Oryzias latipes: one gene and its partners. The protein of the gene in region 5 interacts with the protein of the main gene of each other region in a biochemical or structural test. Links are inferred from orthologs where the notes say so. Each region holds a gene or a part of one and is shown on either strand. Other genes may lie near its edges. The genes, in order: mfn2, mfn1, eif4b, rnf41, prkn, ube2j1 and ccne1.

The links.
Region 1: of the proteins of prkn (region 5) and mfn2, one has a biochemical effect on the other in vitro, tested with the Homo sapiens proteins (2 studies listed by BioGRID). The link is inferred for Oryzias latipes from reciprocal best matches to the Homo sapiens genes PRKN and MFN2.
Region 2: of the proteins of prkn (region 5) and mfn1, one has a biochemical effect on the other in vitro, tested with the Homo sapiens proteins (3 studies listed by BioGRID). The link is inferred for Oryzias latipes from reciprocal best matches to the Homo sapiens genes PRKN and MFN1.
Region 3: of the proteins of prkn (region 5) and eif4b, one has a biochemical effect on the other in vitro, tested with the Homo sapiens proteins (2 studies listed by BioGRID). The link is inferred for Oryzias latipes from reciprocal best matches to the Homo sapiens genes PRKN and EIF4B.
Region 4: the proteins of prkn (region 5) and rnf41 form a complex in vitro, tested with the Homo sapiens proteins (2 studies listed by BioGRID, with this or other methods). The link is inferred for Oryzias latipes from reciprocal best matches to the Homo sapiens genes PRKN and RNF41.
Region 6: the proteins of prkn (region 5) and ube2j1 form a complex in vitro, tested with the Homo sapiens proteins (4 studies listed by BioGRID). The link is inferred for Oryzias latipes from reciprocal best matches to the Homo sapiens genes PRKN and UBE2J1.
Region 7: of the proteins of prkn (region 5) and ccne1, one has a biochemical effect on the other in vitro, tested with the Homo sapiens proteins (2 studies listed by BioGRID). The link is inferred for Oryzias latipes from reciprocal best matches to the Homo sapiens genes PRKN and CCNE1.

The regions. Positions count from the first base shown.
Region 1 is NC_019865.2:32,497,029-32,500,261, reverse strand, and holds the end of mfn2 (mitofusin-2), read right to left. Parts: intron 3,051-3,233; coding exon 2,830-3,050; intron 1,967-2,829; coding exon 1,811-1,966; intron 1,661-1,810; coding exon 1,464-1,660; intron 1,392-1,463; coding exon 1,257-1,391; intron 651-1,256; coding exon 581-650; 3' UTR 501-580; downstream 1-500. UniProt on the Homo sapiens protein: Mitochondrial outer membrane GTPase that mediates mitochondrial clustering and fusion. Mitochondria are highly dynamic organelles, and their morphology is determined by the equilibrium between mitochondrial fusion and fission events.
Region 2 is NC_019862.2:9,083,667-9,087,700, reverse strand, and holds the start of mfn1 (mitofusin-1), read left to right. Parts: upstream 1-1,234; 5' UTR 1,235-1,392; intron 1,393-1,799; 5' UTR 1,800-1,808; coding exon 1,809-1,956; intron 1,957-2,055; coding exon 2,056-2,191; intron 2,192-2,463; coding exon 2,464-2,626; intron 2,627-2,765; coding exon 2,766-2,890; intron 2,891-3,026; coding exon 3,027-3,135; intron 3,136-4,034. UniProt on the Homo sapiens protein: Mitochondrial outer membrane GTPase that mediates mitochondrial clustering and fusion. Membrane clustering requires GTPase activity. It may involve a major rearrangement of the coiled coil domains.
Region 3 is NC_019863.2:29,761,177-29,765,181, forward strand, and holds the start of eif4b (eukaryotic translation initiation factor 4B), read right to left. Parts: upstream 2,801-4,005; 5' UTR 2,717-2,800; coding exon 2,704-2,716; intron 876-2,703; coding exon 711-875; intron 1-710. UniProt on the Homo sapiens protein: Required for the binding of mRNA to ribosomes. Functions in close association with EIF4-F and EIF4-A. Binds near the 5'-terminal cap of mRNA in presence of EIF-4F and ATP.
Region 4 is NC_019865.2:22,245,519-22,249,795, forward strand, and holds the start of rnf41 (E3 ubiquitin-protein ligase NRDP1), read right to left. Parts: upstream 2,801-4,277; 5' UTR 2,526-2,800; intron 850-2,525; 5' UTR 830-849; coding exon 740-829; intron 1-739. UniProt on the Homo sapiens protein: Acts as E3 ubiquitin-protein ligase and regulates the degradation of target proteins. Polyubiquitinates MYD88. Negatively regulates MYD88-dependent production of pro-inflammatory cytokines.
Region 5 is NC_019873.2:12,968,318-12,971,817, reverse strand, and holds part of prkn (E3 ubiquitin-protein ligase parkin), read right to left. Parts: intron 3,088-3,500; coding exon 2,951-3,087; intron 780-2,950; coding exon 718-779; intron 110-717; coding exon 1-109. UniProt on the Homo sapiens protein: Functions within a multiprotein E3 ubiquitin ligase complex, catalyzing the covalent attachment of ubiquitin moieties onto substrate proteins. Substrates include SYT11 and VDAC1.
Region 6 is NC_019882.2:20,275,698-20,279,197, forward strand, and holds the end of ube2j1 (ubiquitin-conjugating enzyme E2 J1), read left to right. Parts: coding exon 1-96; intron 97-2,036; coding exon 2,037-2,315; 3' UTR 2,316-3,470; downstream 3,471-3,500. UniProt on the Homo sapiens protein: Catalyzes the covalent attachment of ubiquitin to other proteins. Functions in the selective degradation of misfolded membrane proteins from the endoplasmic reticulum (ERAD) and is essential for cells to recover from ER stress.
Region 7 is NC_019861.2:36,308,424-36,312,453, reverse strand, and holds the start of ccne1 (G1/S-specific cyclin-E1), read left to right. Parts: upstream 1-1,230; 5' UTR 1,231-1,338; intron 1,339-1,655; 5' UTR 1,656-1,691; coding exon 1,692-1,705; intron 1,706-1,918; coding exon 1,919-1,997; intron 1,998-3,301; coding exon 3,302-3,367; intron 3,368-3,543; coding exon 3,544-3,689; intron 3,690-3,763; coding exon 3,764-3,899; intron 3,900-4,030. Other genes in the region: uncharacterized protein F13E9.13, mitochondrial, read right to left, coding at 16-88. UniProt on the Homo sapiens protein: Essential for the control of the cell cycle at the G1/S (start) transition.

The DNA of each region.
Region 1 (3,233 bases), on a different chromosome or scaffold from region 5:
TGTGATTAGCGTGGTCTCCTACTTGATTGCTGAGAAAACAACTTAGAGTACAGTTAGCGTGGGCATCCTATACACTTGTGTATGACGTGCACACCCTGTGCGGGTGCTAATTGAGCTTGCTAACGACTAGTGTGGCATAGAGGCACACTATTCTTACAAACACCTCACAATACACTTAACACACAACAATGGTACGTTCCGTTTTCATGTCGTCCCTAGGTGGCCGTACGAGCCTGAAGAGAACTGCAAGACACACCTGCGCTCCCCTTAAGGTGCAGCTGCCCCTCTCTATGACCCCCCCACAGGCCCAGACACCCCAAAAACCCACAGCTCCCGTACGGGTCCACTCTCACACGCCTTAGCATGTGACTAAGGCTTTACCTGAGAGCCTTAGAGGACATCAGCGGCAGAGGAGGATGGTTTGTGTGAGGCGGAACACCAGCACAGATACACCTTTCCCATCGTGGTTCTTTATTTTTGAAATCGAGACGACCAATCAGAGGCATTACATTAGAGCAAAAGTCAGAAGCTGGATGGGGCAGAATAAGCTCTGCCCCCCTCCACAGGCGGGTCAGGTGCATCACTTGCTGTGCTGCAGGTACTGCTGAGTGAACATGTTCAGCTCGCTGTCCAACCAGCCGGCCTTGTTCCTGCAAAAGCACAAAAACAGAGCAGCAGTCACAGCGCTGTCTGATGGCAAACAGCTTTAACCCTCAACCTTTTTACCATCACTGAAGGAAGTTTGGGCTTTTTTATGCTTCATATTTTCCTGTAGTTCTTTATCAGTGACATGTTTTAGCCGTCAGAATATTGGAAACCAGATTGAATCCATTAATGTCTATGCTGATGCCAGTCTTTTGTTCTGTGAGTTTCTCAAAAGCACTGATGTATTTTCTCCCTTTGACCCCCTGTCCTCTGACATCTGCTCTTCAGAAGGACACTTCATCAACCCCAAAGTCTTTGTTCACCTCAGGTTCACCATTTGACAAACAAACAAAAACCTACAGCACGGCCTCCAAGGCTGCTACACTTTCATTGCATGAATATGTACAATGACGACAAAGGATTCAGATTTGGATTCTACCCAGAGGATCTTAACACCTTATGGGGTCTGCAGTCAGAATAAACCGTGGGAGACCCCCCATCACCAGTTTCCTACACTGATGTCTGGGAAAGTAGAACTGTTCAAAAACTCGTCTGTTGTTCACATTAACCAATAATCTGCATTAATCTGCACGCGGGCCTTGGGTTCTCACCGCAGCAGCTTGGCCCTGCTCTGAAGGTTGTCCAGCAGTTCAATCTTGCTGTTCATGTCTTGGATCTCATCTTCCAGGTTCTGGCGGGTGATGTCCACCTGTTGGCAGAGCTGTGCAAATACGCCCGCCAGCTCCCTGCCGACCACAAGAGGAGACACGGTTAGCTCATGTCAGCCGCAGAGACCCCCCGACCCGCTTGAGACTCACTGCTGGACTTGGTGGCTGCAGTTGGAACCGGTGTAGCTGACAATCAGCTGCAGCTTCTCACTGGCGTAGTCTACGAACTGCCTCTTGAAGGCCCTCTCTTTGGCTTTGGTGGTCCAGGTCAGCCGCTCATAGACGTACAGCAGGCCGTACAGACCGAGTGACAGAGCGATCAGCCGCCAGCCCACTGCCTTCCAGATCTGCATACAGGAAGATACAGAGTTGGTGTGTGAGTGAGTTCAGCTCGTCATCGTCAGATCCTCTGCTTTGTTTTCTGTCATGTTTCAGCTGGTTTTTTTATCACACTGGGTTCACAAGCCGGCCTCCTGCATTTGGGTCGGGACACTCACCACACCACCAACCACGAGGACGCCCATTGAGGTACGAGATGTCAGTGAAGCCAGCCCGGTTACCATAGAAACCATTAGCTCTTCCTGAGTCATGGCACTCTGTGGAAACGGCGGCATGCTGCTGCTGACTGGAGTCAGAGCCATGGGCCGAGGAACCTAGAAGGGGCGGCATAGAGTCGGGTCACACATCTGCTTTGGTTGTGATCTACAGCTCGAGAGTCTGAGCTATCAGAATATGAAACAGGAAAGCAGTTTGTTTAGAGAGGTTACGGTCCTTCTATTTACAGCAAAAAATACAAACCAAAGAACCCTCAAAGGAGGTATAGAGCCATGTCATTTGGTCAGAAGAGACATGAGCCTGTTTATGGACAGGAGTAAGCAGAACCTGAGCAGAGAATCAACCTGCAGGTCATTTTCAAACCATTCAGACAAACCAACCAACCGATGCAAACATCCAGATGAGCTCATCTGTAAGTGAGGAGATGAAGGAATTCTGCAGGACAGCAGACAAAAGCAGCAGCTGTCAATGTTGGAGAACTGCAGAAGCAACACGAAAGAAGATCTGTCAGGATCTACATCTGCAGTAGGGAAAAGATCTGTCAGGGTCTACTTCTGCAGCACTGAGAAGATCTGTTAGGATCTACTTCTGCAGCAGTGAAGGGGCTGCATCCTAAACTGTTTAGCTACAAGCCATTAGCTCATGGATGTAATTTTCTTTTTCTTTGAGATTATTGGTTTTGAACAGGGGCTGGGTTGAGGATCTGAATCGGCCCTCTCTTTGGCTTTGGGATTCGAGTCCCTGCAGGTGGAGAACTTCAACTGGTCCGCCTGGTCTGCAGTGTCGCTAGTCTCCAGCAGTGCTGCATCATTACTTGGATCAACTGATTCCAGACAACCTTCTTCAGGTTATCAAACAGGCTGGTCGGGTTAGCAAGCCACCAGTCCAGAGTGACCATCTGACTTCACTGAGAGACAGAATCCTGCAGCGTCAAAGAAGACTTTGATCCAGATGCAAGTACCTGGTCGCTGTAGCCCATGAGGGCCCGCCGTGTGTTCTTAGGGCCCAAGAAACGGTTCACCAGCATGGTCCAGCCCAGAGAGAAGTGGAAGCTGATGTCCTCCTGGAAGTCACTGCAGAGTTTGTCACAGGCCAGGTCGTAGGTGAGGCTGAAACACTGCCGAGGAACCATCTTTTCCACCTGGTCTCTGAGCGTGGAAGGCAGCAGAGGCTTCAGACCCTCTGAGGAAAGAGTAGAGACCTCTTTAGGAGGGTGGTGTCCTGGGTTATGTACCAGTGTGGACCAGTGCACACCACACTGTGGAACAAGATGAGCTGAAGTCCTGCTGCAGATCTTTGCTGCTTTATCTGCTGTTGTTCCTTAGTGCAGTTAGTCTCCAGCCTTTTTCAGGCCACAAACCACTT
Region 2 (4,034 bases), on a different chromosome or scaffold from region 5:
TTTTGGTCAACAGGCAAGTGAACAGCAATGTTACAAAAAACGAATTAAACCAAAATATGAGTTAATTTAAAAAATCTCATTAATTTACAAAAAAAATTAAATTATATCAGTGCAAGTACAACTTTTGTAATTGTTCTTTTACAAGATTCATGTAGAATAAAAGCATCTGCTGGTGGTGTCTAAATTACGTATAATTCACCTTGTTGGTTTTTTTTTCTAGCTAATTTTGAAAATATTGGTGAAAATTCAAACGTTCAAGGCACCTTTTTGTGAGCCACCCTGAGATCCAAAGGTGAAATCTGTTTGTGTTCTTGACATTATTTGGATTGTAGCTTTTTATTTTAATGCTTTTAATCATCAATGGTATAGCCAACGATCTACATTTTTCTGCTCTACAGATGATGACGACTGGCTACCATGTTAACAGGCTGCAATAACACATGTTTGAAACACGCAATTGTCATACAATTCACAACAATAACATTTCACCTATATCACAATATTTGACATCAAGGTTTGCGTTACACAAAGGTTTTGTAAATGTTAACATTAGGATACATATGGTAAACATCCAACCATGCACCAAAGATGTCAGTCTTTTTGTATTTGTAATCAGTTCAGTCATTTAGTTTTACGAGTTTTTTTTCTAATGTATTAGTCCGTATGATTTCCTTCCAAGGTGCAGTGTAAAAATAATAGTTTGAAAAGGATTTATTATGTTATGAAACGGAAAAGCATGAGACCATGGTAGTTATTCGTTTATTATGCTATATGGAATACAAAATCTTAATGATAATGGTTATTTATTTATACTAATTTATTTGACTTACAATCAGTAAATGAACAAATGCTGACAACTTTAACAGCAGAGGTCTCTTTAAAGGAGTTATGCATTTTTCTGGGCGCCTATTGGCTCTGTTTGCATTCCGATCCTTAACTCCGCCCACCGGACTTTTGCTTGAAAAAGCCTTCATCTGCAGAGAAGGGAAACGGAAACACTGATACATACAGTTTCAAAATAAAGAAACATGATCACACAGATTTCAAATTTACTTTCAAGTAAGTCGGCATTGTGAAATATACTAATTATACATAAAAAATAAATATATAAAAAATTACCAAGGGATACTCGTAAACTTCCCGAACAATCAGCAGTCATATATTTTTGTGACAATGTCACACTGAGAAAGTTTTTATTTTGAAGGTCTGTACCGGAAGTTGTCTTTAAGTTCGTAATAAATTGCCGTCTATGCCTTTGCTGGGTACAAACAGAAGGTTAGCCAGGTTCAAAGCAGGACTTTTTTTTATAGTGATGGAAGTTTTCTGTACTGCCTACATGGATTTGTAGTGTTTATGTAATGAGAAGACAATATCAACTGTTTTAGGACTGTGGTAAGGAAAATAAAACAAAATTCACTTTTTGCTAATGCTAACTATGTGTTTGCGCTAGTTTGCTAGCTTAATTTGTTATACACTCACGGTTTGGGGACTTACCATATTTTGGTTTTGTGTGTTCAGTGTTATAACTAATGTTAAAAAAAAGGAAAAGTACACTTCCTTTGAGTGACCGATTTCTGTCATCTGCATGTGATACTGCAGGTCGTCCTTGTGTGTCACGCGTAAATTATGCTGTTTTTCTTTGGTAACTGCACATGTGTGTTTGACTTGTCAGGCGGGTCAGCTTTCCCACGTGTGTCCGCAATATTTTACTCATGCTACAGCTGTAAACAGGCTCAGTCTAAATAGCATTTCTGCTGATTTGGACTTTACCTACATCGAGTCCCTCTGTCTCTCCACAGTTTGGCACCATGTCTGCAGCCCCCCAACTCCGGCGGACAGACTCATCCCGGGGGGAGTTCTCCCCTCTAAAGCACTTTGTTGTGGCCAAGAAAAAGATTAGCGATGTGTTTGAACAACTGCTCAACTATGTGAAAGAGACCTCAGAGTTTGTGGAAGGTGGTCGTTTTCCTGAATGTCACTATTTAATGATATGTGAAAATGAACGCCATGTTTACCTGTTTATGTTATTCTTTTTTTTTTTTTCTGTGCTGACAGACATCAGTGGGAATACAGCTTTGGAGAACGTTGCCACCCCGGATCAAAAGTCTGAGATCCAGGCCTATGCGGACAAACTTGCAGTCATTAAGGAGGTGCTTGCTCGGAGGCACATGAAGGTAGCATTTTTTGGCAGGTGAGTTCATGTTCCACAGAATTGTTGACTTCTATACATTACCTGAGATTTTTGGGGGATGTGTCGTAAGTATCGTACTTTAACAAGCAAGGACATGTTATTTTTACAGCATTTTCACACAAAAATCATAAACAATTCAAATATCGCAATAAAAAAAACCATTAAATAAAACCTGCTTTTAAGGTAAAAAATAATAATAGATTTAAGTTTAAGGGCTTGAGATGACACTCCAGCACAAAAAATTAGTTTACTTGTGTGTTCTTTGCTTTTAGAACTAGCAATGGGAAAAGCACAGTGATCAATGCGATGCTGAGGGACCGCGTGCTGCCCAGTGGAATTGGCCACACTACCAACTGCTTTTTGAGTGTGGAGGGCACAGATGATGACAGGTCTTATCTGAAAACAGAGGGTTCTGATGAGGAGAAGAGTATTAAGGTACATTTTGGTACTTTGGTTTTTACATTTCCTGCTTTTAAACTGTTTTGATCTAAATTGAAGAGAACGTTGGCATTTTGTGTAATTTTCTTGAAACCTTTTAGTCATCAATCTAATTTAACTCACAATTCCTCCACAGACTGTAAACCAGATGGCCCATGCGCTCCATATGGATGAGAGTCTGGACGCAGGCTGTCTGGTCCGTGTGTTCTGGCCAAAAACCAAGTGTGCGCTACTTCGAGATGACCTGGTTCTAGTAGACAGGTGACAGGATCAGTCATTTGGTTTTAAAGTGTTCTGCATTATATTTTGCAATTCCCAAACGTGTTAATAATTTTTTTTTACAAATGTCAAATTGAATGTATATATTTTCTGCCTCTTCCTGTCACTCGTTCTTTAGTCCTGGGACAGATGTAACGACACAACTGGACAGCTGGATTGACAAGTTTTGCCTTGATGCTGACGTCTTCGTGCTGGTGGCCAACTCAGAGTCCACTCTCATGAACACGGTAATGACTGTCACCCACACAAGTTTATGTTTAGTCAACATCCTAAAGGATTTACAGAATATGTGGGGATCTGGGTTAACCATTGTAGTCCATTTGCTTTAGGGGTTAAGGAAACATTCAAGGTTAGAGAATTCCTTCAGCCAGAAACAGGCTAGCTGGATGACTTCTGAACTAATAAATGATGGAAAATTGTGCCTCCCCCCCTGAAATGTTGGTTTGTTGTTAAGTTTTGATCTTGTGACATTTTCACTGTTTTAAAGTGAGAATAACTACAAAACTTTGGTTTCAAAAGTTTCCTCAACTCTCAGCCAGTTTTGTAATACTTAGAGAAAACAAACCTTCATATTTCATTTCAATTTGTCAATTCAGACAAAGTAATTATATAGAACACTCTTTTTTTTATTGAATTAACAGTTAAAAAAAAGCTGTTTCTGATTTTAAAATATGATTAGATAAATGCTTTTTTTATTCCTGTATGGAGGTTAACACATACATTTTACATTATGAAAGAAATAGAAAACAATAAACAGCTCTGTTTCATATCATTGTGTTTCTGCAGGATTATCTGAACATTTAAATAGCTGAGGCTTATTTTACCCATTGTGATGATCAGCATATACAGACAAGACTATAAATATTTGGACAGAGACTCATTCTTTCTAATTTTGTTTCTGTACTTTATCACAGTGAATTTGTCCCATGAAATGAAGGGATTGTGTTTAAAAAATACGTTTTTCACATTTTTATGCAATCTTTTTGTTCAACCCATGGAATAAAAGCTGAAAGTCTGCACTTCAATGGCATCTGAGTTTTTTTTTTTATTTAAAATTCACTGTGGTAATGTACAGAAACTAAATTAGAAAGAATGTGTCTGTGTCCAAATATTTATGGTTATGACT
Region 3 (4,005 bases), on a different chromosome or scaffold from region 5:
CCCAGGGTTACCAAGTCCAGCGTAATTACGCCAACTCATATCCGGTCTTTTGGAACCGACATACCCAGAGTAAGCAAGTTCAGGTGGATTTCAGCCAGAGTTCAGGGTTAAAGTCGGGGTAGTTTAAACGTGCTTTCTGGAATACCCCCCAGGTGTTAAAAGGGTCAACACATACAGCAACAACAAAAAATAAAAACTTTTGGGTTTAGGATTCACAGCAAAAAGCCCTGGAAGAAAAAAGAAAAAAAAACACAAAAAAACCACACAAACAGCTGCTTTTTAAGTACAGCAATCTTTTCCTTGACATTTTTACAACATGAACTTTCCTCTTGGCCTTCGCAATATAGGATTTTGATTTTTTAAAGAATACACAAAACCGTACTTTGGAAATGTTGTTTTTTTAATTTTCAGAGTACAAACTCTTCACAGGTTTGGCCTCACATCACTATTTAAAAGCAAACAAAGGAATTAAGTGTGATCAAGTCCACATTTTAGAGCAGTTTTATGAAAGCTTAAGCAGAACTCCATCCTTTGCTGGATGTGAGCTTTCTGCAGCTGAACGTCGCCTGCATCCCGCTGCCTTTACCAGCCTGCTGATGCTCGTTTCCTTCAGCACTCCGTAGTATTGAGGCAGTTTCAGAAGAGTCCAACTACATCCCCAGCTCAAACTTTTCCTCCATTAAGAGAATAAAAAACACTGAACTACACACCATTCGTTTTTTTCTGCTCACCGTCTCCATCCAGGTCGTCAGTATCATCTGCCCAACTCGTGGACTTGCTTGGGTAGCTGGGAGGCGCGGCGGGGTTGCCTCCAGAGTCCTCTGCCAGGAAGTCAGTGAGACTGAAGGTCTTCCCCTTCTTGTTCTTCTTCTTAGCTAGAAGATAGACGGACACCACACATCAAGTTAGGAGACGTCATCCTCAAGTTAGTCAAATTTCACAGCCTGGTGCTGAGCGTACCGGCAGATAATATTTGTGTTGCCCAAACAGAGGCGTTATTAGAACGACATTATTGTTCGTAAAACTGCTGTTCTGTCTGTCCTGAAGCATGCAGGTTTTTTCCTCTGTGCAAAAAGATGTGGAGCAGAGTTAGATAAGGGGGGGGGGGGGCACCATGTGTACATGATAAATATTACACTTATTTCCCCATTGGAGAAATGTTCAGGGAGTGGCCTGCAGGCCCAACTGCCAAATTACACCAACACGATGCACCTTTAAGTCAAAACGATGAGAGCTTTAAACCAACTCGACATGCAAAGTTTGTTGCACACGATCACAACGCAACAGTGGAAGGCAGTCCGAAGGACACGTCCATTTTCCCAGAATCTTCACCTGCAGCCAACAGGATTTTCTTACAACAAAATCACCTTCAGTAGGTTTGACTGCACATTTGCTGCAAAGGGCAGATGAGGCAAACTAAGGGCAGCCAGCCACTTATCAGAAGGCGCTTGACTCCTATTAGCTCACGTGGGCCTGAAATGCTGAACACACCCTTCACTACAGTAGACATCTCTTGAGGAAGCCATTTAAAATAAATCCATCAGAACAGCAAGCCACAAAAAAATACAGGGGGCAAAAGCTGGTTTCATGACATTTAATCAATGCCAAAGCAATCAAATATGAAGAGTTGAAGGTCAGACAGTAGTGTAACATTCCTCACAAAGCCCCCAGTTTCTCACGAGGCTTCATTCATGATCCAACCAGAGCAGGTTGGATGTTTTTGGTTTGAGGCAGAAAAGGCGTAGAGACAGAGCTGGTTGTGCTTTTCTGTGAAAATCCCGGCTGTCAGGTGTACAGAAAACCAGACTGATCTTCTATTTCTATAGGAAAAGCCTCGGTATAGTGAACGTCACGTGCTTGCATCACTAGGTAATTTACCAAAAAGCTGCACTAAAGGGGCAAAACTTAGCGGGAGTAGTATATGAGCACGTGTCGGGAGGTTTCTGTTTGGGCTGATCGCTTTTGTCTTTTGTGTCTATGCGGGCTTAGTCAGCAGAAGAGTGCTGACGGGGAAGTATCCCTGCTTAGCCGGCTAGGTTTTAGGGCCTAGTGGCGCACGTAGCAGCGCTGGGATCCAAGTGCGCCATCAACTGCGTCGGACTTGTCCGGCTGAAAGAACCAACCACGACTCCAGTTCTGACGCAGACAGCTCGGCGCTTCGGATGCGACCCAGCAGGCCCAGCTTCACCACAGCCAGCTAAGAAGGGAACGGCGCCGCACACGTGGGGAGCCTCTACTTCAGGCGGCCTGGACGCCTCAGCCCAACCCCTCCTTCAGAACTCGCGCTTGCGCCCGGTGTCCTGAGCGCGAGCGCCACGGCTAGCTGAGTAGCTCTGCAACTGACATGCAGTGTGCCAGCTCTGCGGGAACGACCCGCAACCTATGTCCCCCTGATCAGTCCATGTTATATGGAGCGAAAACAAACAGGTCGCATAGCAACAAACCCCAGAGCCTCCTTTCCGATTTATCCACGAAAACGTTGCGATAACAGCCAGTTGCTCCGTCATTAGCTTAACCCCAGCCATCTGCGTCTTCGGCGGGCTAAACAGCCACCAAACAAGCGTTCAGGCCGGAGACAAGAACGTTAGCCGATCAGGCTACAGCGTGTCATTTTTAAGACGTTTACTGAAAATTTGTTTTGAAGTAACTCGCTGTACACGTTTCTAATAACCGACCCACGGCGCTCACCCACATAAACCTCACCTGACGCCGCCATGTTGGAGAGCGAGTTCCATAAAGTTCCCGGATGAAAGCGTCAGTTGTTTATTGTCGGGAGCGCGCATCGCCGTTTGCGCGCCTCGGCCTCCTCCCTAGTTTCCTGCTTGGACATTACATGGGCCTAACACCCACCCACCCACACACAATTTTGTAAAAAGAAATCCAAAAATATGTATTTTTGAATATTTACTCTGGTCTATATTTACATTTAAATTTTTATAGTTGAAAAATAAAACATAAAACAGCCGTTATGGTGGGGAATCAAAAAATGATATGCATGACTTTATTATTGTTTTCTTTAAATAAAAAAATCAATAAACGCTTTTCTTTAAATTTAGTATCATGTTGAAAATTGTTCTTAAAATACGTAAATACGTTTTTTTAATTTGTTTATTTGCTTGATACTGCCAAAGCTTTTTCTGTTTGCACACATCACCTGTATAAAAGGTGCTGTTTAAACTAAGCTGCCTTGTACTGGTTTAGGGAACTTAGTGTGAAAAAAAATATATTGTAATGGTAACCAATGTTGGCGTTGTGGACCCATGCACAGTGGTCCAAATCTCTAAAATTATACAATTGAACTACCTTTTTTAATACATAAATTTACACTTGTATATTATTTTTACTGTTTTTTGTTTTTCTTTGTTTTGTCTACAGCTTTTTAAAAAATATTTGCAAGTAGAAATCTGTTTCAGACATATGTGCAAAGTTTACACACGGCTTGTAGGCTATTTAATAAATATGCAACACACACACGTACAAAACAAAATAAAAGTAAAATCTTACCTCTTAATCACTTAAATATTGTGCTGCGCATATCTTAAAAAAGTACTCTGATTGGTCAAAAGTATCAAGACCAGTAAACCTTTTTACTCAGTTCTTCATAACTGCAGCAGCTGTAAATAAAGCAAACAAATAACCGCTTTTTCAGAGGGCGTTTTCTCAGGTTGCCATCCACTCCCACTAAAGGCATCAATGCATAAAACTCATTTACACAAGACATCCCATCAAAGGGGAAGGCTGCATTTTGTCCTCATATTTACCTTATAACCTTTTTGCTTATTTTTAACAAGCCACCATTTATGAAAGCTGATAGGATTGAGAGTGAACAACCTTTAAAACAAGTGACAATTCTTATAAAATTCAAAACACAGACCTGAAGCTTCTTGTAGAGGCCACAAAGTGGAAACTTAAGCATTTTATTTATATTTTTTGTGTTTTAACAATGTTATTATTTATAATGTTATATGAAATGTGACCCAAGAGACAAAAACCAATTGCTATTCT
Region 4 (4,277 bases), on a different chromosome or scaffold from region 5:
GCAAAATCCGTGAAGTAGAAACCTTTATTTTTTTTAAACTATTATTATACAATTAAATACTCTATTATACATTGAAAAGAAAGAACAAACCAATTTACAGGCTCAAGCATTTGTTTCACAAATAAAAGTACTTTAGAAACCTTTTTTTCAACAAATAACTCTGTACTGTACTGTCAAATAATAATTTTAATGAATGTGAACAGAAGGCTTCAAATCGCGGAGATTAGCCCCGCCCACCGCGACCCGAGTATTGGATTAAACGGGAGAAAATTTAAAATGATTATGAAAAAAATACAAAGTACAGTGGGACAAATAGTGACTCAGGTGTATTTCACTGCTCTTCAGACTGAGCCGCTGCATCCTGACTCAGCTCTGCAGTGTTTTCTTCTTTTGAAGCCCGCGGTGCAGCTGTGTTTGTTCGGGAGAAGAACATAGTGATAGGCAGTTGTTGTCGCTCTTTTTTCTGCTTTGCAAAAAGATCCTTATACACCGACTTGCCACCATCAAGAGAATTTGCACGTAGTAATGAAAATTTGGCAAGCTGATTTACGTACGTGCACATATTAAACTGCAACGTTATTGACGCACAGGTAGAGAAGAAGCGGAGTGACTTTTTAGCCAATCAGAATGCAGAACACAATGCACCATGCAAATCCGTGAAGTAGCGAAACCGTGAAAAGCAAACCGCGTTATAGCAAGGGATCACTGTATATCCAATTCCTTGTAAAAGTAAACTTGCCTGCACTGGTTCTTCCAACACTCCACTGCAAATAGGACAGAGGAGGTCTTCATCCACCTCACCCTGGAACCTCGTAACATCGTACCCCATGGTACACTACCCACAACCTCCTGAGCATCAACAACAGGTAGCACACAAACAAACAGTAAAATGTCAGTACTTCAAACGGTTGTGATGCACAAAGAAGGAAACAACACAATTGTATTAATACATGTCAATTAATACAATTTTACACTTTAAATTTCAGCATTTAAATGGGAATGATTAATTATATGTAATTTCAATGACTTTAGACTTTCAAATCATTTAGTAATATCTTCATTTACATAAAATAAGTGCTGAAATGGATGTATAAAAGTAGGGCATACTGAGATTTTACCCTTTACACAATTGTTTAAAAACATAAACAAATGGATTTATTTTGTACAACAAAAAAAACATCTACTTCATGTGACCGCATAAAACTGCTTTAGTCAAGGTCTCACAGGGATTTAACTAAGAACAAGAAGTCTGAAAACATCAGTCAGCAAGCTGAAGAAAATTACAACAGCAAGTAATTAAACTGTTTGAGCCCAAATCTGTGCAAAAATGTGTCCATCACCCTTGTTGAGGTTAGTCATCTGAGCTACTAAAATGAAAAGCACAACAGTTTCATGGGAAAAAAAATCTTCAACAAGAAGCTTTGTGGTTTTGGACTACTTAAAAAGCATTGTGTTCATATTTTTCCATGCCATTCATACAATAAAATTACCAAACTTGCAAAAAGGAGAAAAGGGTGAAAACATTATTTCTCTGCATGAGTTACTTTAGTTAAAAAAATGCTTAGTACCTCTTAAATATCTCTCTCTATATATATATCTATCTCTCTCTCTCTCTATATATATTTTTTTTTTAAAGAAAGTAAAACTATACCTATACCTATACAGCTATTTGCTCGTTAATGCTAAAATCTGGCAAATAAATAAATAAAGACCAATGTTAATCAAAAACTTGATGTAAAGTTGTTTGTTATTTGTTTAATTTAGCTTTTTGGGACAAAAAGCATTGAAATAAATTCCCATGTTTGCTGACATATTTAAATAGCTGTGATTTAAAAGAACCCCCAGAAAATCAACTCTTTCCCAGAATTACTGTGTCAAGAACAGATAATATAAGGGGTTTAAGAGCTTTATTTAACCATATATGAAAAGACAAACTATTCGAGACAAAAAAAAATAGCCTACGTGATAACAGTTCTGCTGATGCGCAGCATAAAAAAGCGGTGCCCTTGAGCCGAAGTTGTGTTATTTTTCAGCCGCATCTCATCGGCATCCACATTTATACTGGGTTAAAATCTGAGGATTGGATTTCAATATCTGAGTACTTTCCAAATAGGATACTGACACCAATTCGGTTCGAGTTAGATTCACCTGACAATTCGATTTTAGCATCATTAAACGATAGCTTTAGCAAAAGTTAGCGTACCGCTAAAGCTAGTGTTAGCTACGTGGAGCTCTTTTCCCTTTGACAGTTTACTAATATATAATGTTAAACTATTTTACACAAACACATAAAAGTAAATAACAAATTTAGTGTTTCTTCAGAAAGAAAAATTAACACATGTCACGGGTTATTAGGAACTGACTTATGTCAAATATAGGTATAGGGTTAGCATCTACCAAAACAGTGGTTTTCATGAATGTTAGCACTCAAGCTAACCCGACGGATCTCAGATAGCACAAATATTTATGAAAGCGACTTTAATAAAAAACACTATGAGAAAAATAAAATTCACTACTATACTTACTTAGGCATGAAGCAAAACAGGTCCTTGTCAGGTTTACAAATGTTTAAAAACGTTGTACCTTCGCTAGCAATGTGCTAGCCACGTCTTGCTACATCCTACACTTGAACGTTGGCAGGAAGAGGAGGACTCTACCACAGGTTCTGAAGGTCTATGTCATTCTGTTCTTCAAATCAAACAGTTGATAATATTCCAATGGGGTTTAATGATCACTTTTCCTTTAGCCTGTTATATATGTTATGAAAGATGTGTTCGAAATGAGATTGAAAAACGGAATAGATTTTTGCCGCTGTCCCCTATTCTTGTTTGTAAATTGGTCTATTCCATAGTCTTCGTGCTGTCGAGGACCGATTACGTTTTTTATGTGTTAATTTAACCTTTATTTAACCATATAGAGAAACAGTTATACTTTAAAATGACCACCCAGATGTATTTAGGCATGTTTTTAGAAAACCAGAAAGCGATTACATTCTAAGGATTTTGACACACAATAAAAACTTTTTTCCCAGGAAATATTTTAGTTTTTACAGTATATTATTTTTATTTTGTTTTGTGTAGTTTAATTTGATAGAAATAATTGAAGATATTTCTTTTTGTTTTTAAACTTTTTTCTATCTTGGAAATGTCAGTTACTGTACTTTCTTTGTTCATCTGCCTTTTTCATGAAGTAATGGAACATTTTCTGACATATTTTTTTTATCATGTTAATAACATTATGCCCTGCATACATAGTAAACTTTAACAAAACTTTTCATGATTCTTTACCCAAAGGAAACAGCAGAAAGGAACATGTGAGCCATTGTAAATACAGAGTGTGGGTTCCAGACCATGAACATTTTTCTAAATTCTGCTGCTGGTGATTTGAATGATTGAAATGTCAAAAGACAGAAAACAATTAATTTAATAAACAGGAACCTCAGTAGTCAGCTACAACAGCCTCAGTCGCCACCGGTCCCCAGTTTGGTTACACACTCCTGTGTAATGGCGTCCCATTTTTCATCCAGCGTTTGTTGCAAGTCCAACATTGTTGCTGCATTAGTCACTCCTGCATAAAAAAATAAAAATCACACCCAAAATTGTTCCCTAAATTTAACACTTTGATTGACTTGAAGGCAGAATTGTCAGCAAGGTATTCGACTCTTCCCACTTCCAAATTCAGAAAGTAACATCCATCTACAGTGAGCGGCGGTTTGGCCATCTTTACAGGTTAAATCCTGTGGAGAATTATCTCTGGTTGCAGAATCTCATATTTTTCTTAATTGTGATTAGCTGTTTGCCAAGACAACTGCTGGTCTTATTGCCCTGCAAACATCAACTGCAAATCTGTAAAAAAAAAAAAAAAAAAAAATAGTGCAAATGAGAAGAAAAGGTGTCCTTAGGCTGTCTTCTTGGGACATTGACTTTTTTAGCCCATCTCTGACATTTATTGTTATAAAGTAATAATCTTAGCCTTCAATTTGGAAATGGAAAAAGAAATTATCTTCAACAAATACTGGGATTTAGTTTTGTAAAACACCACTCTGTAGTTGCCCTATTCCATAGGCCAACCCAAAGTAGGTCAATCAGTTGTTAGCAGCAACTGGGAGTACCTACATCTCAGAACAAGAGTTAAAAAATAAAAAACACATTAAAGGCTGCTTGAAATTGTCATTTTTTTATGTATACATTGTATTATCTCACCATTTGTTCTAAGTGAAGTATGCAATACTAAATTTTTTTGTACATTTGAGGCATCTGCTATTCCATACCAGTAGA
Region 5 (3,500 bases):
TGCAGGGGTCAGAGGGCAGGAGCCCCGCCCCACAACCAGGTGCCGGACACATGAGTCCTCCCATTTTCAGTAGGCACTCCTCAGTGGCATATTGCTGGTACCGTGCATACTGTAAGATACAGATAGAGAAAGAGGACTGAGACCGCAAGTTACCTGTGCACAGGTGGGAAGGATTGAGTCTCTTCCTTTGTGTTACAAGTGAGATTTACCTACATCACATTGTAGAGTGAATATTTATTTTTATAGCAGGTATATTTTTACAAAAAGAGTTTGTTTCTTCTTTTATTGTGTGATAGTTTATTTTGTGATTTAATTCTATGAAAAAAAGGTCCGTCTAAAAAACATTGGCTTATTTGCACATGGCCGCAGCAGCTGCTTTTTGATGAAAGCTCTTTGTCAGCCAATCACAGGGCAGCATGAGGACCTGCTGAAACTCCGAGTGCACATCACTTTGGAGCAGCATCATCCCCTAACGTCCGTGTGTCAGCAGGCCGAGCTGGTGGGTGCTGCATCAAAGCTCAGAATGGTGGTGATGAAGAGTCCTGGACCTGCTGGGTGCCCATGAGGTCACCTACACAGTTTCAATAGCGGCTCATCCCTCTTCCGTCATCATCAGAGCCTCTGAACTCCAGCGGCTTGTCTTCAACGTGGGTGTCAGAGCCCTTGTGCTCAGCATGTGTTCCTGATGCTGTGGCAGAGAATCTGAGGTGCACTTACCTGGTCGTCACCCAGAACTCTGAAATGGTGCAGCTCTTTGATCAGCGAGTCCTCACAGCCCGCTGTAGACACAAACGCAGCGTCTTTACACACATACAGATCGGATTCACGCTTGTGCTCTCACTCTTGTTTAAATGTTGACAAAAGGTGTTTTGTCTGGTTCAGGTGAGTACCTGCCTACATCCATGCCGCTCACAGTCTATTCCAGCTAGTGACTCATGTTCTTCATCAATGTCCAGGACTAATTTGCCCACATTTTACATTTTTGATTTGGGTCATCAGACTGTTGTTTTTGATTCTGACCTGTTTTTTTCCCCAGACTTAGGATCACAGACAACTGGTTATAGGCTGAAATCTTCTTTGGATTTCTAAAGTTCATGATCCTTCATGTCTACTGACCACCAACTGGAGTGAGGTGCCTCAGACCTCTAGATGCACCTCCAGCAGGAAAAGCCCTTACCTCATTCATGTTTCACTCCAATTTTTGCAGATGAAACTAACCAAGGCTTTTGGTGAGAATAGAAAAAAAATAACATTTTATTACTGTTTGTGTCATTTCCTAGCAGTTTGTTGGAAATTTTGTCTTGTAGAAAGTAAATCCCAGATGTTGAGAAACTTTCTAATTGAAATTACGTTTTATTAAGAACTCTGTTGTCATCCATCTTTGATTATAGCTCAGCTATATGCAAATTGGTAGAGACAGTTGAAACAAAGCTGAAAAAGTACAGGCATTTTCCTGGTATTGGGATTTTCCCAGTCATGAGTATACTACTGTCATTTCATAGAACAGGTACCAATGCCCTGACATGTTTACTTCTGTAAACTCTTCAAGTTCCATTTTAAATGATACTCTCAAGTCCTGAGTTGTTGCTGTTTTTCGGGAGTCCACAAACTTTTACAACACAAGTTACAGACAAGTTACAGTCTGGGTCTCCCTGTGTCGGTCCCCAGCCTGGATAAAATACAGGGTTGTGTCGGGAAGGGCATCCGGCATAAAAATCTCTCCCAAACCACATGTTTGAATCAGTCAAAGCTGATAAACTGTTGCAACCCCTGAAGGGATGTGCTGAAAAGTGAACAACAACAACCCAGGTTGTCAAGTAAGGGAACTGAGACTCCTTCATCAAGTCTTCAGATTACAAGCCTGCTTATTTTGGTCAGAGTTCTGTCAGCTGTCTAGGATCACAGTTAGCCTTTTATTTGGTTTCCATCCACAGCCCAGTGGGCAAATCTGAAAGGTTAACCAGAAACGCAAGACCAGCCCCCCTATCCTCTGTTATCAGGGTCCATGTTTGTGAGTTTGAACCACCATGAAGGGCTCAACAGGCTCTCGTTACTCTGGAGAGCCATTGAATCTGAGCCAATGACCATAAACAGTTTTTTCCTCAGTACCAGGCGGGGACCAGAAGGTTCTGATTTGACCCTTTGCCTGAGGAACCATAGGCTGGTTCCTATATTTGTTGGCTATTTCCGTAGCACCAAAGTTATCAAGCCAAGGTTTGCCAAGGAAGAGGCTTCTCCACCTGACCTCTTCACCTCCAAGGTTAAATTGTGAACAATAGCAGAAATGTTACCAATAAAAGTAAACAGAATCGTGAACAATATTGTGTGTACAAATGGAATGTGCATTTTTAGTACAAAAAAGTACACCCAAGGAGGCATATGTTCATTTCTTCTTTGCTTTGGGGTGTGGTCTGTTCCTGTTTGTTTTGGTCTTTATTGTCCTCCACCACCCAATAATAACAGTCAAAACAGGTGATGTGGTGAAGGAGGTGAATCTTTCAGCATGGTGGTGACTGTACCACAGCTCCAAATCTTAGACACCTCCTAAAAAAAAAGGAAAACGCAGTTGGTGGTCTTTTGTGCTGAGTTATTGATGCTTCGGTGAGAGGGATTGTTTACGGAATACTACACCAAGATTTAGTAAATCTGTTCACTTTTGACGGAACCTCTGGAGAAGGACACGAGCAACTCTTTAGCTGTGTTGTTGTTGTTTTTTAGGATTGTCTTCATGTACTTCACTTTATTAACTTCACACTGTGGGCATTTCTGGAAATGGTTACTCAGCTTAGAAGCACAGAAAGGTGCTGGTGGGCTTTGGAAACAGTTGCAGGCACAGAGGAAGTCCACATGGACATCTTGTAGCAGCAGCAAAGCTGTGAATGCGAATGACGACCCTGTAGGTGTAACTCTGACATGCAAACGGTCACCACACTGACCCCCCGCTTCTCACCTGCACACGGCAGAGAGTATCCAATCGCAGCGTGGTGAACAAACTGTCGCTCGTTCAGGCGGCTCTGACAGTACAGACGGAAACAGTCCAGACATATCACATGGCGCTCTGAGCACTGGAAGACCAGGACCACGCCCCTAAAAGACAAAAGAAAACCATACGTGAGAGTGAGTTTGTGCTTAGGTGGGCCAAACTGCAGTTTGAAGTGTCAGAGCAAAGTAATGACATTCAAATTTACAGTTAAAGTTAAAGATAAAGTTATTTTTTCAATTTAATGTTCATTTTCATGTTTATGTCAGCTGGCATGATTCAACCCCCGACTTCATACAGGTTTCCACACATAAAATCATGTGCAAACTTGACAACGTGTCCAAAAACAAGTTTCACTTGATTTTTTTTTAACGAATAGTTTCAGTAAAATACCGCTTGCAAGAATCCATCTAGTGTGTTTGCCTTTGATGAGTGTGCTTTGCGGGTGTTTGTGGCAGAACACACTGAGGAATAGATAGTAGTGCACGAAATGTGATTTCCAAACATGAAACAGGATTGC
Region 6 (3,500 bases), on a different chromosome or scaffold from region 5:
GGACCTGCAGGCGGCGAGGAGCTGTCGGCACTCCCCCAGCAGGACACGTCCTCACCCGCTGGCCAGGAAGCGGCTGAGACGCCGCAGGCTGAACAGGTGGGTGTCCGGCTGCTGCCGAGGCCGCTCACGGCTGCAGCCTTTATTTTGGAGGACGTAAGAGGTAGAGTTGCCAAAGGCAATTATGTCGTCTGCTTGTCAGCTTTAGTTCCTGACTTTAATCAACCAGTCAGACATCAGCTCCGCCTCCAGCAGCAGATGCAATTTAGAGGTTTGAAGTGAGTTTTTTTTCCCTCATCAGCAGCTCCTCCAGCATGTGTGAGCTGCGTTGCCTAAGAGGATTGATTTTGGTGCCAGATGCTGTTCACACAGAGACTGAAGCAGCAGAGACGAGGGTCAACTTAGATTACTGCTTCTGCGCTTGGATCAACTGAAAAGGCCAGAATGGGAGCAACCATCTGCTGCTGCAGACTGGGTGGCCCACTTTTTACCCACAGAGCTCCTCACCGGTTTTTCCATTAGTTTAGAAATATTAAATATTTGCAACCAACCTTCCACAAAGTGAAACCTCATAGGCCTATGCAAATGTCATCATCCACTGAACAGAGTATCAGCAGGTGACTCAGAGAAATTGAAGACGTCTCTGTGCATCAGGGACAAAGACTATTATTGGATGCCCATCATCAGCAAGGCTGATTCAGTGACATTACTGCAGGGGAGCTGTGGAATTAACACTAAAATGTGCAGAATATCCATCTCCAAATAATTCCTTCAATTGGTCTTAACTTTTTAGTTTCATAATTTAATCATCTTCAGTCTGACGATAGAAGAGCTGATGTTCCAGGACATCTTTACGTCATAGTTTAACTCTCACCACCTAGCTAAAGTGATAATCCTGCCCCTGTTAGCCCTCCAAGTCTCAATGCATTGCCTAAAGCTACATTCACAGCGAATGCGATTTGTGTCAGTGGCGTCCAGTTTTAATGTTATGTCACCTTACAGACGTGATCAGAGGTCCTACAGCGCAATTTGAGCGCTACGCACAGGAATCTGGCCAGCAGGTTTTGCGCGGTGAAACAACACGACACAGCGGCTAATACATTGTTTCACGTTTCGAGTTCAAATTTCGAAACTTTGTCAAAGAATTCCCATCGCATTCATTCCAACCAGGACTCCGCTTTGGCCTGTGTCATGTTCAGTGGGTGGAGTCCAAAACCAACATGGAGGAGAGTCTGATTCTTCTTCTCCTTAACTTTATGATATTTTTCTAATTTGCATCCTCTAATTTTATTCTTATTAGTCTTTTTCGCTCCTGGGTCTAAAGCGGGACAGCAATTCATCAAACTGGGTCACAGAGAGACAATAGAGCTGCTAAAAACGCCGTCATTCAGGCATAGTAGTAGAGGATGACCTCGCCGTACCGGGACAGTCTCTGATCTCTCACCTGCATCCGTTTCCATGTAGGAAAGAGGCTAAAAGTTCTAGGCGGTAGCTCCTCCCACACAGTGTTCATACACCAGCAGGTGTATGAACACATTTTTGGACTGTAAATATTAATCGTATCAATATTTCTCTATGCTATTTGCTCTGCCTGAAAACTCTATTTCAATTAAGCTGCAATACAGTCCAGAAACAAGACTTTTAATAGAATAAATTTTTTTTTACAATAATCAAATTAAATTAAATAAAAGACTAAAAGGCTACTAAAACTCGATCGGGGAAGTTTTACAAGTCTTTAGCTTTTGGGCCTTTTTGTAAACTAGAAGTTATACATTCTAGCAACAAAATAAGTGTAATAACTAGTGTCCAATAGGGGGCAGTAGTTAGTGCAGCGGAAAACAGCGGAAAAAACATCAAAGACTGTTAGTTATGGAAACTGTTTGTGTCTGTTTGTAATTTCTTCTGGATTAAGAAAAGATTTTAGCTAACGTTTCCTGTGCAGAAGAATCGCTAAACATCATGATGTAATTGTTACTCCAGATCATCTCCAACATGATTGGTGGACGTCAGTCACTGCATTCTGTTTGTCCTGTTTTCAGGCAGAGGGACCAGAGGAACCAGAGGAACCCCAGCCCCCTGCCCCTGTGGACTCCATCGATTCTGTCCGGCAGCGCCGCTCCCCGCAGCAGCCCGGCTCGAGAGACAGCATTCAGGTGGCGGCCAGCAGGGTGGCGTCCGTCCCGGCGCCCCGCCAGCCTCTGGACCAAAGCCACGCCGGCTCTGCCGTCCTCATCCTGGTGCTCACACTGGCTCTGGCGGCCCTCATCTTCCGCAGGATCTACCTTGCCAACGAGTACAACTTCAACTACGAGTTGTGACCACGACCCCATCCTCCTCAATTCAGACTCAGAGGTCAGCTGGAGTGGAAGCAGAGCTGAGGCAGCAGCTGACTTTCTGCCCTCGCTGCTCAGCCAACAGGAAACCTCCTCCGGGGGGGGGGGCACTGCACATCACAGCACCTCCTTTTAATCAGTGTGAATTTGAACCCCCCTCCTTAGAACAGGAGGCTTGTTGTTTAGGATTCAGCTCAGCGTCTCCCACTTGTAACTGCGGTGCACCCCGCGGCTGCTTTCGTTCCCATTATTTAATTACAATTGTAATATGTCAGAACATGGAATTATGGGAAATTTCCTCAGACACAGCCAGAGAATCCTCCGAAGGCCACGAGTTAAGCTCCTGTCCAGTTTTAATGGGGCCAACAAACGGCAGAAGCGTTTTCCATCCGTCACCTGGAGTGAACGTGCTGCATTAGTTTTAGTTTCTTTAAGGTGGGGGGGCTCTTTCAGAATAAATGCATTCGTTTTAAATGGTGTGAAGCTTTTAAATCAGCGGGGCGGCTCTTTAATGGAGCGAGCAGCAGCTCTTCCTCACTGCCTGAGCACCGCCTGCCTCTGTGATCGTGTTGGCGTGGAGGGGTGTCCCTGCAGGGGGGGGGGTTCACGCTGCAAACCAGCCAGCAGCAGAGAACTCCCAGATTGTAATTTCTGGACCATTTAATCCGTCATACTTTCAATCTTTAGTGGTGGTTCATCAGCAGCAGCAGTTCTCACTCTTCATTTTTGTTTAAAGGCACCCCGTTGTTCTTTACCCCTTCATAGCGCCCCCCAAAGGCTGACAGGGAGGGTTCAGCTTTCACATTTTCTACATCAGAGTTCCAGGTTGACATGAACGCAGCTCTGAGGTTCCACTTGTGCGGCCTTTGATGCTTCATGCCTGATGGTCGTCTCTGCAACCTGCTGCTGAGCTGCACAGCCTTCAGTCACATTTAGGAAACAGGAAGAAGATAAGGGGCTTTGCTCGTCACTCAGCAGCCGCTCCCATGTTCATCTGCTTTGTCAGACGAAGAACCCTAAAGACAAACGTTTAGTCAAACCCGCCAGGTCAAGACTAAACACAGTAAATCCTTCTTTTCAGACTTTCTTGGAATTCATAATTGGGTCTTATTGTTTAATAAAGTTATTTAAAGTTTTAAATGTGTCTGTTTTCTGTCTATATTTAGCAAC
Region 7 (4,030 bases), on a different chromosome or scaffold from region 5:
AACGGGAGACTTTACCTGGCAACGCTTTGACGTGAATCATTCCGATAACCACTGACTTCAAGCGTCCGAAAAGCTCCAGGAACTTCATGTTTGGGTTTGGCTGAAACTCCAACTGCAGGAACTAAAGTTCAGCTTCCACCGAGGGACCGGATCACGTGACGGAGCAAAGGTCAGGGGCAGAGGTCAGCGGCACGCCGCGTCCACCACGTCTGTTAGGATCCTTCAGCCAACGGGAGACGCAAAAAAAAGAAAGAAAAACAACAAAACGTCTCTGCAGAAAGAAAAAAGTTACTAAAGCATGAAGTCACTTTAACTTTGTCACATTTGACAAACACAAGCATTCATAGACACAAACACACTCTCTCACGCACACACACAGATACATCCAGACAGATATTTTTATATCTCAAACTCATGGAATCAGGATTTAGGAAACTATTTATTAAATTATGGAAAAAAAACATCTTCTTTTTACAGTCTTTTCAGACTCATTTTCCAAATGAGTGGATTAAAATATGAATCCATTTCTTTGCAGCATTAAAAGTAAAAAATGGGAAAAAACCTTTATTTTTAACCGCCTTAAGTTTTCAGTAGATTACATGTCGCTTGTTTCCCGAAGATCTTCTGCTTCCTGGAACAAAATCTTTAAGTGTTACAATGATCAAAACAGTAACTTAATCAATATTTGTTTACCCAAGTAAAGGTAATCAGTAAGGGGCAGTAAAGTTACTCTTAAAAGCTCAATTTAACCAAAAATGTGTAAGGTAAATGTAACGTGTTACTTCCTCTCTCGGCGTGTCTCTGTGACGCAGAGTAAAGGAGGGAAAAAAGAGACACTTATGTGGCTTAATAGGCGGGAAAATCTAAAAAATCTGCAAAAATCATCAAAAATATTCATATTTTCGCTGGTTTCCAGTCTTCTTGGCGGTTTTTCCCGGGAGACCGCGGCTTTGTTTACATCTGACAGGCTGGCCACGCGGAGCCGGCACACTTCCGGCCCGGTGGCCACGCCCCCGCAGCTGTCAGCGCCGCGGCCACGCCCCTCCCACAGCTGCAAAAGCGGGATTTTTCTTTCCCGGCGGCGGAGCAGCAGCTGAAGGCGCCAGCAGCCGTCAGAGCCACTCAGAGTCCCGCGCGCGTCCGTCAGGAGGTCCATGGAGGAGAAGGTCGCCAGTCTCCGAGCTTTGGCGCCAGTTTGAAGCGGCTCCGCCCGGAGGGACGCTCGGGTTTTAGGCGCCAGCTCCAGGGAAACCCGCCCGGCCTGCACAGGCTCTGTGAGCGGGCAGCTCCGCCTCTGACTCCCGGGGACTCGGAGCGAACTTCAAGGAGTCTCTTGGGGTAACTTTTCGCTTTTCATCGGGGTGTTACGCGCTGAAAGGGAACTGTGTATTCGGTGTCTCGGTAAGTCCCGCTCTGCGTGGCCGCTGGCAGGTAAAGTTCCCGCGGAGCGGCTGGAGTGATTGTGAGGGCTCCGGGGGGCTCGCGGTCCTCTGGGGGGAGGGCACGCGCCGCTTCTTGTTCTCGCGGGCTCGTGCGCCCTCAGAGCCCGCTTCTTCCCCGCCACTTCTGCGCCGGGCTTTGTCAGGAGGAGGCGCCGCTCGGGTGGGGGTTGGGTGTTTTCTGGAAGCCCGGAGCTAACGCTGGCATCCCCGCAGGTTTGCTCGGAGTGTGGGCCAGCGCGTCCGAGGACCATGCGAGGACAGCGGTGAGTTGCTGTGTTTTTTACCCCGCTTCCAGCGCTTAATATGTCGGGGGGAATGAGCCGCTCTGACGGCGCCGTCCGTCGGCGCAGCCCGGTTAGCCGTCCGGCTAACTAACCCCCGTGGCCTCCTCCTCCTCGGGGGCTAAACTCTGGGAGCCCGCGCGGAGGTTCTGGACGCTTCTGGACCACAAAGACACGTCTGTTTTTTCTCCACAGGGAGCAGAAGGAGCCCACGAGTGTCGCCCCCACGGAGAGGTCAGAGAGGAGCAGAAAGAGGAAGGCAGATGTGGCCATTGTACGTGAGCGGACCAGCTGGTCTGAACTGGTCCATCAGACTGGTTCTGCTCTCTTTATGGTCCGGCAGAACCTTCAGCTATGGAAGCCCAAACATGACAAAACTCACAAACCATATTTAAGGCCACAAAAATGGATCCATTTAGCCAGAAATTCTTTCCAAGACGTGATTTAAAATTATTTAAACTTATATTGATTTTTATTTCCAGGAGGAGGTTGAGGTTCTACAAACACCCCCACAAAACGGTTAAACAGATTTGCGTTTTAGTTTTCTTCGCATCCAAACTTGACACCATTTTTTTCCCATAGTTTCCATTGACTATAAAAACGGCTTTGGATGCTAAATTTGTCTCATGTAAACACGATAAAACTTTCATTCATCATTAAAAATAACGGTTTCTGCGCTTGGAGGAGGGGAGTTTTTGAGACGTGTCTAAATTAACATATTTGTCAAAACTGCTTTTTGTATTAAATGAGCCACGTGACCAACGACCGGATGGCGAGGTGCTTCTTGGTAGGAGCTGGCGGACTTGTTGCACGGCGGGCGCCACACAGCTCGTCAAAAGTTGAGCATCTCGTTGGATCCAACAATTCCACATTTCCCAAAATCTGTTTCCTCCGTAGCCCCTCCCACATGTGAGGAGCTCGCCACTCCACGGCCTGAAAAAGAGGCCGCCGTCTCCCTTTGTTCACGCCCGTTGGCGTGTTTTTGAATGACGTGTCGCGTCAGTCGCTTTGTGTACAATTGTGATTTAATGGAAACGGTGTAATTGCAAAAATGTTTATTCTGCAAACTTCTAGAATTTACATAAAGTTTGGCGCATGATTCAAAATAAAAGAACTGATAAAAAGGTTTGTTTGGTTTTTAAAAAAAAAGGACTTTATTAATTTATCTGAACGTTTGTCTCATTTTAAGATCGTGGAGACGAAACGAATAAACATGAGAACAAAAGCTACAAAAATAAAACTAGAAAGCTGTAAAAATCGTAAACACTCCAAATATGAGACGTGTTGGTCGTGAAATTTACTAAGACAACCTGATTTGTGCCAAAAAAAAGAAATTAAATAAATATGTTGATTCCTATTTAATCATTTCATATTTTTTTAAATATCTTTCTGTAATTGATAATTGATGAATGGAAAACAGAAGATAATCTGGAATCAAAGTTGTTTGAGCTTTTATTTTGATAGTTTCATCTTCCACTGTAGACATGAAGTGTGTCTTTCATCTGTGATGAAGATTTTGTGTTTTTGTGTCTCAAAGCTGCTCAGAAGTCGCCGTCAGTCGTTGTGTTTGCGTCTCAGTTCCTACAGGATCCTGACGAAGACGAGGCAGAGATGACGAAGAAGAGGCAGCATCTGGACTGTGAGGTGAGGCTCGTTCGACACCAAATGTGGCTCCAGGACGCCGTTTGACGCCGTTTCTGTACGGATGTTTCAGATCCAAGTCTGATCTGCCGGAAAGCTGAAAATCTCTGGTTGACGACCAGGAAACGGCGTCCCGTTTGCCTCTGAACTGCTGTTCTGAGCCTCTCTTCTGTGTCAAGGTGGACTGGAGCCCCGACTCGGACCGGACCAGCCCCCATCGGTGGACGCCGGAGCGCCGCCAACAGATGAGTGCCGGTTTCCTGCACCTCAACTTCCACAACATATTCGTGACCCCGGTCCACTGCGCCCCCCTGCCGGCGCTGTGGTGAGTGTAAACCCCGCCTCCCCGGGCTCGGCGCCACGGAGAGCCGCCGCTAACGGTCGCTCTGGCTTCTCCAGCTGGGCCAGCAAGGACGTGGTGTGGAGCAACATGCTGGCCAAGGACAAGAGCTACTGCAGGGACGTCCGCATGCTGGACAAGCACCCCCACCTGCAGCCCAGGATGAGGGCCATCCTGCTGGACTGGCTCATGGAGGTGGGTGCATCCGGAGGCGGTCGGACGCTCCCGCCGTTACCCCCTTCTCTGAAAAACTGAACGGCCGTGGGAGTGACGGTAAACCTGCTCTGCCGCATTTCTGCTGCAGGTTTTGCTGTGCGGCGTCTGAA